Linked DNA regions of Ovis aries. The protein of the gene in region 2 interacts with the protein of the main gene of each other region in a pairwise test. Links are inferred from orthologs where the notes say so. Each region holds a gene or a part of one and is shown on either strand. Other genes may lie near its edges.

Region 1 (3,143 bases), on a different chromosome or scaffold from region 2:
TAGGGGCACTGACACTGTCTGAGGAGGGTAAGTCTGTTGACTTTGCTCTCAGGGGAGCAGAATCTCAGGTCTGAATAGGTCCACTGGACTGCTGTGCAGAGGGCATTTTGGGCCAGAGGGGCACCCAGAGGCCAGGAGAGTGAGGGCAGAGGCCTGAGCCTGACCAGGAGACCAGGCCAAGCTGGGAGAGTTCAGCGCAGGCACGTGGAAGCAGTCTGTGCCCTGGGCCCTCGCTGGCTGGCTGGGGTCTGGAGTCCAGGTGGGTGTTTGGAGGCACCCTAGCTGGCTTTCAGGGGGGTCTGGTCAGCTGGTCTCCGGAACCTGACCAGTTCAGCCTTGGCGTCTGGTGCTGGGCTGACATCGGGCCCCTAAGGCTTGGAGTCTGTCCTGTGAGGACTAAGCCCCCGTGCAGAGGGCCTGCGACCGCAGGGCTCCCTCAGCAGGGCCCTGTGATGGGGGTTGAGCTGCCCCGGGCACAGACGGGGAGCCACAGTCTGGGCCAGGTGTGCAGGCCCTGCCACGGCGATCGGGCCCCCAGAGCCCAGCTGCTGCTCCAGGGAGACCAAGCTGCCTTCGTTAGGTCAGTGATGGGCTTTGCCATGGGCTCCCCTGTGTATCCGTGACCTAGGGGCTCCTGACCTTGAGGGATGGCTGAGTGTGCAGCCCCGCCAGGGGCTGATAAGCCACCGGGCCTCCAGGGCTCTCAACTCCATTCCCAGGAAGCTTCCTCATGGTCGGCCTTTGAGGAGGAGGCCAGAAGAGGTGTCCGTGGTGGCAGCGGCTGGCTGTGTCCCGGGGCCGGGGTGGTCCCCTGGAGGCCAAGCCCCAGGTCTCTCCCTCGGGACGTCCGGCTGTTGAGCCATGGGCCTGCAGCGGGGCAGGCGGGTGGAGGGTGGCTGGGCCGGTACCGGCAGGTTGGGCGGCGACATCTCCTATGTCCTTCAGCACAGTGACTCAGACTCTGACCCTGAGTGCGCGTCCCTGCCGTCGTCCATCCCCAGCGCCGTGCCCGTGACCGGGGAGTCCTTCTGCGACTGTGAGAGCCAGAGCGAGGCCTTCTGCGGCAGCCTGCACGCCGCCCACCGGGGCCGGGACTGCCGCTGCGGCGAGGAGGACGAGTGTGAGTGCCGGGCGTGGTGGGCGGTGCTCCGGGTGGGCCGGGGCTCAGCTGGGGCCTCTCGCTCTCGCAGATTTTGACTGGGTCTGGGATGACCTGAACAAGTCCTCGGCCACCCTACTGAGCTGTGACAACCGGAAGGTCAGCTTCCACATGGAGTACAGCTGTGGCACGGCCGCCATCCGGGGCACCAAGGAGCTGGGGGAGGGCCAGCACTTCTGGGAGATCAAGATGACGTCGCCCGTCTACGGCACGGACATGGTGAGTGGCTGGTGGGGCCAGGAGGTGGGGGTGCTGCCAGGCGCCTCGGTCCCCTGCCCCCTCTGCCCGCTCCCGTTCCCAGATGGTGGGCATTGGGACGTCGGACGTGGACCTGGACAAGTACCACCACACATTCTGCAGCCTGCTCGGCCGGGACGAGGACAGCTGGGGCCTCTCCTACACAGGTGCGCAGGGCCCGGGTGGGCGGGGCTGGGGCCCCCAGGCTGTGGGGCTCAGCCCGACCCTGCTGCCCCCAGGCCTCCTCCACCACAAGGGCGACAAGACGAGCTTCTCCTCGAGGTTCGGCCAGGGCTCCATCATCGGCGTGCACCTGGACAGCTGGCACGGGACGCTGACCTTTTTCAAGAACAGGAAGTGCATAGGTGAGGCCGGGACCTATGTGGCCCCAGGGAGCAGGGCCAGAGCCCCCGGGGGGCTGAGTGCCCTGAGGCTGTTCCTCCCCCCGCCCCAGGCGTGGCGGCCACGCAGCTGCAGAACAAGAGGTTCTACCCGATGGTGTGCTCCACGGCGGCCAAGAGCAGCATGAAGGTGATCCGCTCGTGCGCCAGCGTCACCTCCCTGCAGTACCTGTGCTGCTACCGCCTGCGCCAGCTGCGGCCCGGCTCGGGGGACACGCTTGAGGGCCTGCCCCTGCCGCCCGGCCTCAAGCAGGTGCTGCACCACAAGCTGGGCTGGGTCCTGAGCATGAGCCGCCAGCCCCCCGAGCCCTCGCCCGCGGCCAGCGGCCCAGAGCCCCGGCGCTGCCAGCGGAAGCGCTGCCGAAGGACCTAGCCTGCTCCCTGATCGAGACCCCCGGGGCTGGGACGGCGTGGTCCCCGCCCCTGCCTGTGGACTGCCCCAGGGCCGCCGAGGGGAGGACCGAGCCGAGGTTTGTCCCGCTGCCCCTCTGCTGCCTGAGGCTGGGGCGGGCCTCGCCACAGGGGCTCCCAGCCGTTAGCCCTGTGACCCCAAGACCCAGCCTGTCTGCTCCGGTGCTGGGCATGAGAACAGCTGCCGCCCCAGCGCGTCTGGGTTCAGGTCTGGGGGGCTGGCAGGGAAGGGGCTGGGGGCCTATGGGCTGCTGCCTGTGAGGAGGACGCAACTTGAGAGGTGGGCTCTCCCTGGCACCACCGGCCTCACGTTTTTCTTAACTTGCTTTGCATGTTGTCAGCTCTGTTCCTCCTGTCTGGGGCTGAAAGCAACCATAATAAACTCGAAGTCTGATGTCCACCTGCCTATAGAATGAAGTGGGTCAAAGTGAGGCCTGGGGCTCACAGGTGTCCGTGCTTGTCTCCTCTTGGGGCCTCACGGTACCCTGGGGAGAGGTAGCCTGGTTCTCTCCTCCCTCTAAACCTTGTCTTAAAAATGAAGGTACTTCCCCCCCAACCTCCCGGTGATGGGAGTTTCCCCGGTGGGATCCGAGGCCCCTGCAGCCCTTCCTGCTGGTGCCAGCTGTCTACCAGCCCCTCGGCCAGTGTGCATGCTCAGGGCACGTGAGCCCCACCCCAAACCGTCTCTAGACCTTCCGCAGGCGAGAGAAGAATTTTCTTCTCCCAGTTATGCAAGATTTCTCTCTGCCGTCCCCTCATCCCCCAGCTTGGGGTCAGACCTGACTAAGCCCCGGGTTCGGGGCGCACCACCCCCTGTGGTTTCCCACGGGTCCTCTGGGAGGCTGTGTTCACTCCTGCCTGCAGGCGGGGGACGCCCTGTGCAACCCACGGGCCTGCTCAGGAGCCCAGGTCCAGCAGGAGGTCGGGGTCAGTGG
Region 2 (3,747 bases):
TTCCTGCAAACACGGAAGTCACACAGATAAGTATAGGGCCATGTATAATCACAGCCCATGTGGACAGACACACTATATCTCACACACAGAAACATCAGCATGCAATTTCCATTTCACACACCTAGATGGAATACTTACAGCTACATTTACACGGAAGACATGGTTCCGGATCGAGACGTGTATGCTGTCAGGAGACATTCACTCTGTCACCAAATCATGCAACTTCAACAAAGCAGCCTAGCACGCCTGCAGGGACACACACGCACCCACCCCAAACAGCCACATTGCTACACGATGTGTAGCAGACCACAATCTTACAGACCGTGACACAGACACAGACACGCAGAGTCACCCAGGGTCACAGACATGCAGGCCACACACAGATACAGAAGTCACAGTCTCATACACACAACCCCACAAACACACGCCATCACCTGGGGCCGGCACATAGACACACCTATAGGCTGAGTCACATGCAATTAAATAACTCACTATTAATAGAGTTTCAGACTCTTAAGTCAAACACATAACCCGAATCACACATACACAGCTACAAATGCGCGGAATCCATCAGTATCAACACACAGACCTAAATGTAGTCATTTATACAGCCCTGATCACATGCATATATGTGGTTATGAACAGAAACACATAAGTCACAGCCAGCACACAACCTATCACATAAGCACAATGTGACTTCATATACAAAGGCAGTCATCCACCCAAAACTGCAGGCAGTTATGTCACACAAACACATGTGTGACACACATATAAAATCAGCTAGAGACACAACCACAAAGACCAGAAGTCATTAGAACAGCCGCACATGGACAGAGTCATAGACACAACTCCACTTACAGTCACAACTCCACCCACATCTTCAGTCAGCCATACACATGCCCAACCCCAGACTCAACGGATATACTGTCACATACCCAGTTAGAGTTACCAAGGTACATATGTGAGGGTCACAAAAGATGTCATCAAAGATACAACCAGAGTCACAACTACGCACACAAACAGAGACGGAAGGAAAAGTACAGGGTTCTGCACATGGAGCAAGCAGCTGTCATACATACATACACAGTCACACAAATGCTGGGGTCATACACAAATACAGTCACAGGCACCAACGGACACAACCACAAGCATGAAACACACACACACGATTCCTCACAGTCCCTAGCAGCAGCTCACACACAGACACACACAGGCAGCCACAGCCACAAAAACACAGGGTCACACTCTTAGCCACCTCCCCATCACTGGCTTCCCCCCCTTCCCCCCAGGTACCACACACAAAGCCGCCGTCACCAGCACGGCAGACACTGCAGACAGACAGGGCTGTACCAGGTCCCTGGGGAGCCGCCCCCTGGCCCAGCCTGAATCCTGGACCCTGGGGGGCCAGAACTGAAGAGGGAAGCGGTGGATTGTCTGCGGGTCGGGCCCCTCCCAGACAGCTGGGCAGCCCCCGGGACAAAGAGGGTGGCCCAGAAGACCTGTGCCCTGGGACCCTTGACCAAGCCTTTTTTTTTTTTTGTGGGGTTTGCCTGAAATTCCCATTATTTTATTCAGACTTGAGGGGGATGGGGTCCCAGGCACAGAGACCTTGTTTTGAGAAAGGGATGTTCCTGGGACAGCGCCCAAGTGTGGGGGCGATGCTCTGCCTGGGATGCCTCTGAGGCCTGGGGACAGACTGTGCTTGGAATCCCCCCAGGCCTTGCCTTGGTGGGGAAGCTGTGCTCAGAGACCCCATTCTCAAGACCTTGCCTAGAGGGTTGTTGTATTCAGAGACCCCCTCAGGCAGGGAGGGGTAAGGATTGTGTCTGGTGTGGAATCCCCTCCTAGAGGCCTTGGCTTCCTAAGGAGGTTGTGTCTTAGACCCCATCCCCAAAATCTTGCCTAGGAAGTTGTACCTAGAAGCTGTCCCCCTGTCCTTGATTTTTTTGGAGGGGGAGATCTCTTTCTGGGATCCCTATCTTTAGAACCTGGGCAAGAGAGGGCCTGTGCCCCAGACCTCTGTCTCCCAAGATTTGGCTTGGAGCGGAGCGTATTCCTGGACCCCCCCACCCAGGACCACCCTCTCCAGCCTTGGCACCCTCTCCATCCGGGTGCCGCGGCCGCCTCCCACCCTCCGCCACATCAGCAGCGGCGCCGCCCCCCACCCGAGCCCCCTTCTCCCGCCCTTCTCACTCTGGCCGCCGCGCTGCGGGACATCCAGGGCTCGGGCGCCCCCGCCTCCCGCGGCCCCGGCTGGGCCCGGATCCCCGAGTGCTGCTGCTGCTCTAGCGGCGGCGGCGGCAGCTCCGTCTGACGCGGGCCGGGGATGGGGGCCGGGGGTTGGTGCGGGATGCACGCTCCGTAGCCTGCTCCGCTCCCTGGAGGATTCCGTTCCAGGGGCGGAGGAGCGCCCCTCCCGCTTCAGCTCCCCGCCCCAGCCCCGCCCATTGGCCCGCCGCCTGCTGGATATGCAGAGAGACCCCGCCCCTTGAGCAGCAGGCCCTGCCTATAGGCAAATATGACCCCGCCCTCTTCGGTGTGGCCACCGCCCCGCCACGCCCATTGGCCAGTCCTGGGCTGAGCACGCACGTGAATCTCGCGGACACTGGTTCTTCTCGGTCCATCCAGGCGTGGGCTCCCTTCCCCTCCGTGACCCCTGACCTCAGATCCCCTTAAGTTCTGCGTCCGAAAGATTTGCCTCGGGAGGCGCCTCGCCGCCCCACATCCCCAAATCTTTCCGCTAACCCCACGGATCTCCCAGCCCAGCGGGGGCGGGCAGAAGCGGTGACGAGGCACTTTTTGCTGGGAAGGGGAGGGGAGTGAACAGACCCCGACGTCCTGGTGCGCGGTCGGTTCAGCTTTGGGGGCGGGGGCACCAGGCTGGGACGGGGGAGCGGCTTCTGGCCGCCCAAGCGCCCCTGCTCCCGCCCAGTCCTGCGGGTTTGGCAAAGCAGCTGGCAGGGGCATTAAGGCCCATTAGCAAAAAAGCGAGGTTGCTGGGAGGCGAGCGAAGGGAGCCAGGAGGCTGGGAGGTGGGGTGTGTGTGTGTGTATGTGTTCTGGGGGGTGGGGAGGAAGGCCTTCTCAGCTGCTGCAGCCTTCAGAGCAGGTGGTCAGCACGTGCGGGAGGGGCAGGATGGGGGGGCGGTAGGGAAAGGAGAGAAGGAGGTTCCTGGCAACAGATGGCCCAGGCAGGACTGGGGCTTTCAGACAAGAGGGTGGGAGAGGGCTGGCCATCTGCACCTGGAGGCAGCCTGCAACCTCCCCCCATCCCCCGTAGCAGAGAAAAGAACTGGGGGAATGGGAGGGTCACTTTTATTAGGTCTGAAGTTTCACCCCCCCACCATGCCCTCCCCAAACACACAGAGAGGATGCCACCAGGGAGAAGGCAGCTGGTGCAGGGGTGAGCAAGGGAAAGGTGAGGGCTGCCCCCACCAACCACCACCCCCTCCTCTTTCACGGACATCTATGGGGGACCTGAGGCAGAGGTGAGGGGCTCCCCCTCTAGCTGCCTCTGCATCTCCGTGATGGCAGTGCAGAGGGGTCTAAGACTCTCAAATGTTTCCAGAAATAAATTAATACCAGGGTAGAATTCCCGGATGCTCCCTTTGGAGTGGGGAGGGCAGGACATGGGCGTATGAAGCTGGGAGTGTCCTAGTCCCAAATCCAAAGTGGGCCCCCAGGCCTGGAGCAGGGGAGAAAAAGAGGCCTCATAGCAGGGGATGGCCTGCGATGGGGCTGGAGTCCT

The links.
Region 1: the proteins of NUMBL (region 2) and SPSB3 interact in binary tests that used the Homo sapiens proteins (3 or more experiments, as listed by UniProt). The two-hybrid records come from large-scale screens. The link is inferred for Ovis aries from reciprocal best matches to the Homo sapiens genes NUMBL and SPSB3.

What each region holds. Positions count from the first base shown.
Region 1 is NC_056077.1:1,876,784-1,879,926, reverse strand, and holds the end of SPSB3 (SPRY domain-containing SOCS box protein 3), read left to right. Parts: exon of another isoform or gene 1-945; coding exon 946-1,120; exon of another isoform or gene 1,121-1,190; coding exon 1,191-1,378; coding exon of another isoform or gene 1,379-1,460; coding exon 1,461-1,761; exon of another isoform or gene 1,762-1,850; coding exon 1,851-2,170; 3' UTR 2,171-2,606; downstream 2,607-3,143. Other genes in the region: probable crossover junction endonuclease EME2, read right to left, coding at 3,106-3,143.
Region 2 is NC_056067.1:49,380,589-49,384,335, forward strand, and holds the start of NUMBL (numb-like protein), read right to left. Parts: upstream 2,396-3,747; 5' UTR 2,218-2,395; coding exon 2,194-2,217; intron 1-2,193. UniProt on the Homo sapiens protein: Plays a role in the process of neurogenesis. Required throughout embryonic neurogenesis to maintain neural progenitor cells, also called radial glial cells (RGCs), by allowing their daughter cells to choose progenitor over neuronal cell fate.